3 linked regions of the Ovis aries genome follow. The protein of the gene in region 3 purifies or fractionates together with the protein of the main gene of each other region. This does not show direct contact. Links are inferred from orthologs where the notes say so. Each region holds a gene or a part of one and is shown on either strand. Other genes may lie near its edges. The genes, in order: YBX3, POP1 and LARP7.

The links.
Region 1: the proteins of LARP7 (region 3) and YBX3 purify together in Homo sapiens (affinity purification with mass spectrometry; 3 studies listed by BioGRID and IntAct, with this or other methods). This does not show direct contact. The link is inferred for Ovis aries from reciprocal best matches to the Homo sapiens genes LARP7 and YBX3.
Region 2: the proteins of LARP7 (region 3) and POP1 purify together in Homo sapiens (affinity purification with mass spectrometry; 3 studies listed by BioGRID and IntAct, with this or other methods). This does not show direct contact. The link is inferred for Ovis aries from reciprocal best matches to the Homo sapiens genes LARP7 and POP1.

What each region holds. Positions count from the first base shown.
Region 1 is NC_056056.1:204,575,082-204,578,734, reverse strand, and holds part of YBX3 (Y-box-binding protein 3), read right to left. Parts: intron 3,237-3,653; coding exon 3,114-3,236; intron 163-3,113; coding exon 1-162. UniProt on the Homo sapiens protein: Binds to the GM-CSF promoter. Seems to act as a repressor. Also binds to full-length mRNA and to short RNA sequences containing the consensus site 5'-UCCAUCA-3'. May have a role in translation repression.
Region 2 is NC_056062.1:79,005,762-79,009,414, reverse strand, and holds part of POP1 (ribonucleases P/MRP protein subunit POP1), read left to right. Parts: intron 1-1,406; coding exon 1,407-1,494; intron 1,495-1,880; coding exon 1,881-2,068; intron 2,069-2,771; coding exon 2,772-3,028; intron 3,029-3,141; coding exon 3,142-3,235; intron 3,236-3,653. UniProt on the Homo sapiens protein: Component of ribonuclease P, a ribonucleoprotein complex that generates mature tRNA molecules by cleaving their 5'-ends. Also a component of the MRP ribonuclease complex, which cleaves pre-rRNA sequences.
Region 3 is NC_056059.1:13,380,779-13,384,431, forward strand, and holds part of LARP7 (la-related protein 7), read right to left. Parts: intron 3,641-3,653; coding exon 3,557-3,640; intron 3,435-3,556; coding exon 3,270-3,434; intron 3,188-3,269; coding exon 3,094-3,187; intron 3,022-3,093; coding exon 2,671-3,021; intron 2,593-2,670; coding exon 2,448-2,592; intron 634-2,447; coding exon 485-633; intron 1-484. UniProt on the Homo sapiens protein: RNA-binding protein that specifically binds distinct small nuclear RNA (snRNAs) and regulates their processing and function.

The sequences.
Region 1 (3,653 bases), on a different chromosome or scaffold from region 3:
AAAGGTCTGTCCCACGTGGTAAGGCGGGAAGCGCCGCCGGTACTGGGGGCGGTACTGGGGGCGGCGCGGCTGACTCCGGGCCCCAGAGAACTGCCCGGCAGCGGCGGGGGCCTCCAGTCCTTCACTGCTGCCGCTCCCTTCCTCCTCCTCCTCCCCAGCGTACTAGCGAAGCAAAGAAACAGAGGTTCAGAGAGGTGTCGGCAGGGAAAGAAGCAAAGAATACCATTTAGGCTGAGTATCAACGAAACAAACAAACAAACAAAAAATTCTCCCCCAAAGGAACGATCCCTTCTAGTATATCGACAAAAATGCATTTACCCCGGATCATCAGGTGATGACCTGAGATAAGCTACATTAACATTAAAGCAGATCTATGCAGATAAAATACCAAGAAGCAGAAAAGCAAGTGCAATTAATCGCTAAAGAATTTAGTTCGCATCTAGTTAGAATGTCAGTATCAGTTGACTAACCACCCAAAAAACATTTACACAGTTTAGAATATTTGGCTCCACCAAATGTGTCTCCCCAACACTGGTCATCTACTGGGGCAAAGTAAAGAAAAATATGTTTTGTATATTTTGTGGTTGGTCCTAAGTGGTTTGCTTCCTGGAGTGGTTGGGTTCTCAAAGTGTGGATGAGGGTCTCTGAAATCCTTCTTAGGGGGTCATCAAGGTCAAACTATTCTCATAAGGCTGGCAGGATGCTGTCTTTTCCCATCTCATTCTCTCCTGAGTTGGGGGCAGGAGGGGGGTTGGATCTCCCAGAAGCTACAGTGACACATGGTCCCTCACAGCACCAAGGCAGAAGGAGCTGTAAGAAACCAGCTGTCTTTTATTAAACCAACATCAGTGATTGGCAAAAACCTAAAGCAACACCACTCTTTTCATTCAATTAAAAATTAGCTTTCATTAAAAAAAAGTTATTTGTATTTCAAGTAATAGCTTATTTTAAAATAAATCAAATCTTTTAAATTCTGCTTTACTTTCCAATACAATAAGTATTAATAGATATAAATATACATAAAAACTCTGGCATCCCATAATTAAGCATATAAATGGGTCCAAAAACCAGAAGGTTTGAGAACCACTGACTTATGGCATACCTCTCTTTATTTGTTTAGGAATAAAGTTTTAATTGCACTTTAATACATAGTAGCAAGTAATAAATACAGTTTCTGAATATAACAAACTTTATTAACACAAGGAATTATTGATTCATTTTGTCTTTTCCCTGTATTTAAACTACCATTTCACATACTAACATTTTATATCAAAAAATATAAGCAAACAGCTAAACATCCCTTAAAGAATTATTTCAAATCTTACTTTAAAGGGGAATTGCAATGCCAAAGGTAGTCTTAAGTAAAGTAACTATAGCTTTTAAAAAATGAACAAACTTAGAATGAAGAAAATTAAATGACTGATGTTGGGGGTGAGAGTATTTAAGATTTAGAACTCTCCAGAAAACCAAGCCCACATGAGCAACAAAATTCTCAAAGAGGAAAAGCTTCAAGCATAGCCTCAACTAGTCTAATTTCAGAAAATCCAAGTAACTCTATACTTTATAAAATCTATATCAGATACAGTCTCCAATGATTTAAAGGCATATTAGCATAGAAAATGTTCTGCCAAATAGTGTGACTAAATAAACTATAAATTTTCTCTTTAGGTTTCTCTGTATCTGAGTTTTCTATAGCCAAATCTTTCATTAAGATTAGTTTTACAAAATAACAACAATGGCACCACCATTGCCAAACACACTCAGGAAGCTGTCAGGACCTAGAAGACATCACAACAGAAAACCTTCATTTATGTTGATTTTCAGAATTTTGATAATTTTGTTTCTAAACGTCACACACATGACTTCAGAATTTCGAGCTGAGGAGAAACGTCTTTGAAGGAAAATTTTTCACTAAAGGCTTTTTACCACTTGTACTTCTGAGGTAACCTAGAAATCAAAACAATTACAACTAGTGTTCCGTGAATCTGGTGAACCTGAAAGAGTTAACACAACGTAGTAGATGCTATGGTAGCCTATTCCTACTGTCTCTGACACAGTTTATTATTAAAAATTAAACAGGATAAGCAAAACATGGGTAAGAGAAATACAGGAAGAAAAACAAGATATCACATGGAATCTGATAAAAACCAATTTGGGCTGCATGTTTAAGATGACACAATGAAGAGAGGAAACATTTAGGTAAGCAGAAACATACTATTCTATCAAAGTGTAGAGATATAAACCATTCTCAGTCTGCAAATACTTCATTCTGGTGAGACTTTTTTCAAAAGTTTTCCCTGGATGACGCACATAGCCACAATCCTGTGTTCACAAAGCATCTTGAGTTTTATTCCAGAGTACCAATCCCGGGTACTAATTCTAGAAACATTAAAAAATGACTCATATCTAAGAGGGTCCTCATGACCACAAGTTGGATGCCTCAAGAATACTTTAAACTGAGCCTCCTGCAGCCAGACTTGGTTGTAAACCCTTTCACTTAGATTGGTACCAATCTACAGGACTAAAAATTCAGACTTAATTGTTGCTTAACTTTGAAATAATGGGAAATGCTATCCTAAATAAAAGTTACATAATTGAGGCAAATCACTTAATATTTCTGTGGCCAGCACTGTCCATCACTTACTCCAGAGCTGTTCCTCACTATTCCTTGCCAAGGAAAGGCTGACTTTAGAAATAAACAGGGTCAGCGCCAAGGGATGAACACCAGATGTAAGCCAATCACAGAAATCCCAGGCCCCTTCTCCCTACCCCACCCAGTGGATGTCACATGGTTCGGTTCTGGCCGATAAAGGAGCCAAAAGAAGAAAAAACCTTTTTGACAACCTTGGCATGGCCCAAGTTAAGCCTTCTTGTTACATGATAATTAAATGGCTGTTACTTGCAGCCAAATGCAAACAAACGGATAAAACTGCTGAATGGCAAAAATGTCGCATAAGCCCAGTGGGGATGAATTCTGAACATGAAAAATTTCCCATCCAAAAAAATCACTGTGTTTCCAGCAGAAGATACAGCTTTTATGTGCTTCAAACATACACACTTAATTTTAGATGTGCACATTTCTTGGGTCACTGATGATGAAGGAGACAACGTACATTGCGGGGCGGTCCACGGCGCCGGCCATAGTAGCCGCGTCTGTAGCGGCGCCGGTCAGCAGCATATCGGCTCCCTTCCACTGGAACGCCATCCGGGCCGGTCACGTTGGCTGCTTCTGCACCCTGAGAAAGGAAGAAAGCAAAGACGGCCTTCGAGTCAGAAAGAAGCCAAACGACCGAAAGCACCGCCTTAGACAGCCAGAGGGTTTAAGACTGGCAAGAGGTACTAGAAGTTCCTACAGGTGACCTCAAAAACACACCCTCGTTTTAATAAGGTGAGCAAGATGCTTGATGTCCTGATTTAAATGTATACAGCATGACGCCTGACACAACACTGTTTATCAACTATGCTGCAATATAAAGTAAAAAGTTAAAAAAATAATGGATGTCTATACGGCTTGCGTGCTTCCACAACCTCTGCTCTCTTGATTCAAGAGCAATATGTATATATATTTCTTTAAGAAATGCAAAACTGGTAAATATAAAGCAACTGGAGCAAAGGAATGCCAGACCAGGAAGAATATTCTTCACTGGAAATAA
Region 2 (3,653 bases), on a different chromosome or scaffold from region 3:
CTAGCTCTGGGAAGCCGACTCCCCTGGCCCATGCTTTCTCCACTACCATCACTCAGATTGTAAGGCAGACATAGTTACTCCTCATTTGGGGCAGAATTTTTGCTGAGGTTATCCCATACTTTCTTTACATCTGCCCTAAGTAATAAAAATAATAGCTAGTAATAAATATTTTTGAATACTTAATGTCTGTTTTAGTACTTTACATATGTTTACTCACTTAATCCTTACAGCAACAGTATGGGGTAAGTGTTTATTATTATTTCCATTTTACAAATGAGGAAGCTGAAGTACAGAGAAGTTGGGCAGTTTACCCACAGCTGTACAGCTAATGAGTGGTGAAGCTGGGATTTGAGCCCAGGTCGTCTGGCTCCAGAGTTCCATGCTCTTAACCATCATTCTCTGCTGTCAGCCAATTGTACACACTCTGCCGCTGACAGCTGGGAGTGGATCACTGTTGCTGGAAGATTTCTGTCAGCACAGATGAACATGAGTTTGTTGCAGCCTTTGCTGCACTTGGCATTTTAGTTTCCATGTGTACTGGATTTGCTTACAGGACCTGTGGCAGAGGGGTTAGCCTGGGGGTCAGTGAGCCTGACTCATGCCAGCTTCTCCACTTTCTGATGATATGACTGTTCAAGTAGCAGTCTCTGTCTCCATGTCCTCACCCGGCAAATAAGTTAATGCTGGCATCTGATCATCAGGTGTTGGGAAGATTAAATGACAGTCCAGTAAGGAGTTAACCCCGCGCTGGCACTCAATAACCTTTCAGTAACTATTAACCATTATTATATGTTTAACATAATTGATTTTATTAGCTCAGTCTGAGCTCTCTTCATCCTGTTTAAATCGCTAAGGCTTTATTCTCATTACTCACACTTTTCCTTGTACATTGCTTAGTCAGAGTTGGATGCCGTGGTTCATACTGAGCAGGGGATGGGGCTTCCCTGGTGCTCCAGTGGCTCCCAAGGCAGGGGGCCTGGGTTTGATGCCTGGTCAGGAAACTAGATCCTTCATGTCAACAGCTAGGATCCAGAGCAGCCAAATAAACAATATTAAACAAGCAAAAGAGAGAGACTGAGCAGGGGAGAAACGTGGGATAAATTGCCTCATGTGTCTTTAGGCTGAGTGTTGAGTAATCCTAAGGCCCTAAGTTAGCTAACCAAACTGAGCGTCTTTAACATCATTTTGCTGAATTTATTACAGTCTTGCTTATTCTACTTTGATTTTTCACTTGAGGTAGATTTTGGGGAGGGATAATCCTTAAAGGCAGTAGTTTTTACATACCACTTGGAACTTATCTGTGACTATAGGATAAAACACATACCTCCTTTCTGAAAAGTAAGACACTGCCACTTACATTTTAAGTAGAAATTCAAGTATTTAATTGTATCTCCCTCTTTTTACAGGATTTATCCTACTACTGTTGTTTGGAGTTAGAGGGCAAAGAGGAAGAAATACTCAAAGCACTTTCTTCAATGTGTAGCATAGACACAGGTAAACTTATTTCAGAGCTGAGTCCTGTTTAAGTCTGTATATTTATTCATTTCATGAACAAGTATCTTCTATAAGCATTTTGGCATTTAAACAGGATTTACGGAGATAGTTCTTATTCCTAACGAGTATATTCATGTAAGGAAAGCTTGGGGTACCTTTTAAATCATTTCTAACATACTAAGTATAAAGTGAGGGAACCATTATTCTGATGCAGTAAATCTAGATAGGAAGAAACTCAAAATTCATTAAATCATTTTCTCAACAAATTTTTATTGAGAACTTATCATGTGCCAGGGTTTGATCTAAGCAACAACCAAAACTAAAACCTCATCTGTTATGAAGATAGACAGTAAATGATCTTGGAATTTTGTTTTTGTTTATGTTAGGATTGACTTTTGCCTCGGTCCACTGTTTGTCTGGAAAGTGCCAAGGGAGTGTCATGCTTTACCGGGCAAATAAGTATCCCCTAGAAATGCTGGGCCCTGTGACATTTATGTGGAAGGCCCAGGGGACCCCTGGTGACACTTCTGAGAGCAGGCAGTTGTGGATCTGGCTTCATCCAGCTCTTAAACAGGTATAATCCTTGATATTATTTCTCATCACTTAGTCAGTGTATTCTTGATTACTGTTAGAAATGAGTGCTACAGAAATTTAAATAGTGTGAAAGTTTGACTGATTGCTTTGTATTGGAATATAGGGAGGATAGTTATGTTAGTATTAATAAGTGAAGCAAATCTTGACCTGACTTTTGGTAAGGCCAGAGTAGGAGTAGAGATGAAACCAGTCTTATACAAATGGCTTGAGATGGTGCCCTGGACTAGTGCTTCCATTATCCTTAACTGGTTCATTGGTATTCATGTGCTTGTTGGAGCCAGTTTGATGATGAGAATCTGTTTTGAGTGATTCTGACAATTTTTTAATACTGCGTTTAGCTTAGCTTCCCTCTATTAACACTCTCATTGCTTTTATACAGTAGATTGTAAATTTTCTCCAAATTCATCTTTAGACTAGTTTAAAAAAAATTTGGTCAGAGTAGTCATGTTGTTTTCATGAGTCTTGTACATTTAGGAGTTCTTTTTTTTGTTCTGTGTGTCAAGCACTACTCAGAGGAATCAAAAAAGCTTTTCAGAGGAATCGAAAAAGCTTTTTGACGATTTTAAATTTAGCTTCATTTGTGTGACATAGGAATATAAATTTTTACAGGTAGAAAAAATAAACTAAGCCAACTTAAACTTGTATTTAAATTCAGAGCTTAAAATGTTTGAATGTGTCCTTAGGATATCTTAGAGGAGATAAAAGCAGTGTGCCAGTGTATGGAACCTACCAAGACAACTGTCCGGACCCCAGATCCCCTTCTGACACCGTCTCAAGAGAAAAGCCAGGTTGACCTGCCTGAAGAAAAAGTCGGCAAGAAAAGAAAACGGAAAGATGATGGGGAAAATGCTCAACCAGTTAAAAAAGTCATCGGTGATGGAACTAGAGATCCACTTCAACCATATTCTTGGCTCTCTCCAGCCACAGGCATCGTGATCCGGTATGGGCTGAACCTACTCTGAATCTACTGAACATTTTCAGTGAAGCCGTGCTTTGTTTTTGTCAGTGAGACAGACATTATATGCAGTATAAAGCCCTTCTCTTTTCTTTCAGTGATTTGACTATGGAGATGAACAGATTCCGGCTGATCGGTCCTCTCTCTCACTCCATCTTAACTGAGGCGCTCAAAGCTGCTTCCATCCACACCGTAAGAGTAAACCTGATTGCATTGCTGTATTCTGGTCAGGCCCTCCTTAGCAAATTTGCGAAACCTAACATATAGTTTCGGAGAAGGCAATGGCAACCCACTCCAGTATTCTTGCCTGGAGAATCCCAGGGACAGAGGAGCCTTAGTGGGTTGCCGTCTATGGGGTCGCACAGAGTCGGACATGACTGAAGTGACTTAGCAGTAGCAGCAGCATATAATTTGGGAGCGTTTTTGGCCATAGCTTATACGTGTTTGTTTGCCTAGTCATGCTTATTATCAAAGACTTTATCTTTCACTTCTCCTAGAATAGCAAGTCTAAGTGAATGTAGCAAGTAAACGGATTCTTATTTAAATACAGACTGCTCCTGCAGCTTCTGAATTTTGTAAAGGGTCTTAACTTCTGCTATAGGTAAGTAGG
Region 3 (3,653 bases):
TGCAAACTTTTAGCATTAGAACACTTTTAAAATCTTAAAGAAAAAATGTCCCATTTCACTGAACCAATAACAAATTGTTTTACTCAATAAAGAAATAAACAGGTATAGGTACACCGTTACAATTCAAATGTGGAAATTTATATTTTCAACTTATGGGAATTTAAAATATAAATATAAAAGATCATCTTTGTTTCTACAAATGCGATGAACTACAGACTAGGCACTCATCACTAATTTTGATTACTAATGAAAACTGTATAGAGAAAATTTATGTGATTAAAAAAGATTCAGTTTAAAATGAGCCCTTCAAATATTTTTAGGTTAAGGATAAATCATATCTGGACAACTTGAGGAATCAGTAATTGCTTTAATAACAACCACTATATAATTGAGTTTCAAAAGCTAAAGTTTATCCTACAATAACTCAGTGTGTTTTAGTATAAGTACAATATAATGTTACAAAAACTATCATATTGATGCTTACTTTTTTCATTTTTCATTCCGGAATTAGTAGGTACTCCATTTGTTTCCATTTCTGATTGTGATTTTATCTGGGATATTGTTTTTTTTAAAGAAGCCATGCTGGCTTTTTGCAGTGCTAAATACTCTTTCTTCAAATCCAACCATTCTGTTCTGTAGTGAAAATAATTGTACTTTTAAACAGTGACAACAGATCATTAAATAAAAAGTAAGTCTCAAAATACAGACATTCAGTGACTTACAACCACTCATTCTCCCAATCTTTCTTTAAACACATTTAAATTATTTCCTGAGTTCTAAGTCTATCTGGCAAACAAGAAAAGGGGAGTTCCCTCTGTCCCAACATTCAGATTAAATGTTTTATATTTGCTGATTCAATTCTTGAGTATTTTTCAAATATGTGACTGACAAAAATAAAAGCACTGAGTCAACTAACTAGTAACATTTAACTAGAAAAGTCAGTTAACTCTGGGTGAAAAATTAAAATTTTAAGATTTGTTAAACTGCTTCCAATTTGAAAGGTAACATTCCTCAGTATTTACTGGAGTCAAAGGAATTTCTAAGAAGGAAAAAAACACCCCATGGAAGCAATTTATTTATTTACATACATTTAACGTGTAGAGGTTTCTTCAAACAGCTAGAGCTCCTCCAGATAGAAACACAATGCCTCTCCTGGCTCTGCAGGAGCACTCATTGTTACCCTAATCTGAGCCATCAAACAAGCAGATAGGGGATTTTTTTTTTTTTTTAAAGAGGAGAATATCTGTGGTAATGGTTTTAGCTGTTAACATTGACATCTGTATACTTCAAAAAAAAAAAAAAAAAAAATCCAGACCCACCCAGGACCATACATTCCCTGAGAGCTGATACATTAGAATAACAAAGGGCTCTTGTAATGATTCTCTGAGATAAAAAGGGAAAAGGAATTCAGGGGTTAAGAATAGTATAAATAGAAGTACCCAAAGTCCTTGCCTTTTAACCCTCCAAGAGGAAAACCGGAGTCTTTGGAAACTGTAATCCAGGAAAGTTAAGAAAGAAACTCTTAAAAGGTATGCCATTTCTTCTACTTATCTTCCACCTATTGAGAAGATGGGCTCCCTTTAACTTTAACATGGTAGTACTTTCTGTGACTTTTGAAATAGTAAGTGCTTCCATGTTTTAGTAGAAGTGAATCCAAATTACGCCACTGCATACAAGATGGCAACTTTTACATAATTTATCGAAGCTAAAAGGGGATCCCCTCTGCTTTAACATGGGGGTACCTGCTGTGTAAAGCAAAAGTAAGTGCTTCCATGTTTCAGTGGAGGTGTCTCCAAGTCAGTACTTTAAAAGGACTTACGATCTGGCATTTTGCCAAACAAACTGTTGAAACTGGCTATTAATGAAGCTCTGAAAGTAATGAAAATGTAGCAAGTAGTCCTTTTAACGGTGAAATTGTTATTTCCATTTTGCTTAATGTAAGTTTGTCAGGCATTTATTCTGTTCCCAGATTATTTTATAAATGTACTTTACAGGTTAAGATTCACGTTTTTATTTTTCCCAAGACTGGGCTCCCCACCACTTAAACGTGGATGTACTTGCTTTGTAGCTAAAAAAGTAAGTGCTTCCATGTTTTAGTGATGGTAAGTCTTCTTTTTTCATTTTATCTTCAAGAAAATGCAAGGAGTACTTACTTACACTGCTGGTCTTTGGTATATTCAAGATGGACCTTTAAATCTATTAAGGAATACCCTCTACTTTAACATGGAGGCACTTGCTGTGACTTCAAGAAAAAATAAGTGCTTCCATGTTTTAGTGCGGTGGTTCCTTTTTAAACCTCAACATTTCGCAACTTCTGTGCAGATCATGGCTTCAGGCCATTACTGTTGCTAATATGCAACTCTGTTCAATTCAAATTGGAATTGCACTTTAGCAATGGTGATGGAGTGTGTCATTTGCCAACAATATAATTTGTACTGGTGACTTACTTTGATAGTACTCGTAATGGAATAACCTCTTCTCCCATTTTATGCCTCTCTTTATGTTTTTTCTTATGCTTTCTTTTTGCTTTCAGTAGGGATCCGTCCTTTATATCTCCAGTATCCTTTTCCTCTTCCGTAGAGACTTCTAATTCTAAATTAACAAGAAATAAAGACATGAGTTAACAAGAAAACTCTCCTTATCTAATCCTAAACATAAAGTCAGAAATACCTTTGCTTTCTTTACAAACTTCTGGAGCTTCTTTTTTAACGCTGTCTTTCTGAGACACTTTCTTAACCTTCGCTTTGGGAGTGAGGCAGTCTGCATCTTCAGAGCTGCTTCTTTTCCTCTTCCCTGCTTTGACTAAAGGTAAGCTGGATCCTTCAGTTTTTTCTCGTTTTTTCTTTTTCTTTGTGGGTTGCTTTTGGGGTTCAGTAACCTCTACTTCAGAGCTCTCAGATGTGGTCCTTGATCTTTTCTTACAGACACTTTCGTTGCTCGCGTCCATATTTGACTCCTTGGTCTGGATATTGTCGTCTTTCTTTGTTCGGCCTTTCTTCTTCTTTTTCTTTTTCTTTTCTTCTGTAACAATGTTATTTTAATTACTTATTTTTACTTCATGTATGTTTAATAAAGTCTTTAGTAATAACTCACCAGTTACTGTGAGAGCTGGAATGGGCTTGTTTTTCACTGTCTTGGGAAATACACCAGGTTTTCTTGGTGCTTCCTCTGGTGGGTTATTAAGAAACTGAAATGAAATATGCAAAATTCTGTTACTGTTTAAAACACTTAGTAATTTTCTTTCTCTTTCTTTTAGGTTGTGGACCTACCTCAATAGCTTTTGCAGCTTGTTCTTTTGTTTCAAATTCCACGAAGGCAAATCCCTTTGGGTCCCCAGTAGACTTATAATGTGGTATACTTATATAAACAACATTGCCACATTTCCCAAATACTCTCTCAATCCAGCTGTGGTTAACATTTTTGGGAAGTAGTTCCTATGATAAATTAGTAATAATAAAGTGTTAAAAACAACTGAAAATAAAGCTTTATTTAAATTGAATACTACAATGTTTCTGTTGAGACAACAGTTCCGAGCTTTTCCTGAAAAATGGCTTACCACATACACAGTCCGCTCATCCTCATCCTTTGGTCTTTCACCCAGTGGCTTTTTCCTCCTGATTCTGGTGCCTTCTAAATCCAGCTTTAAAACAGTA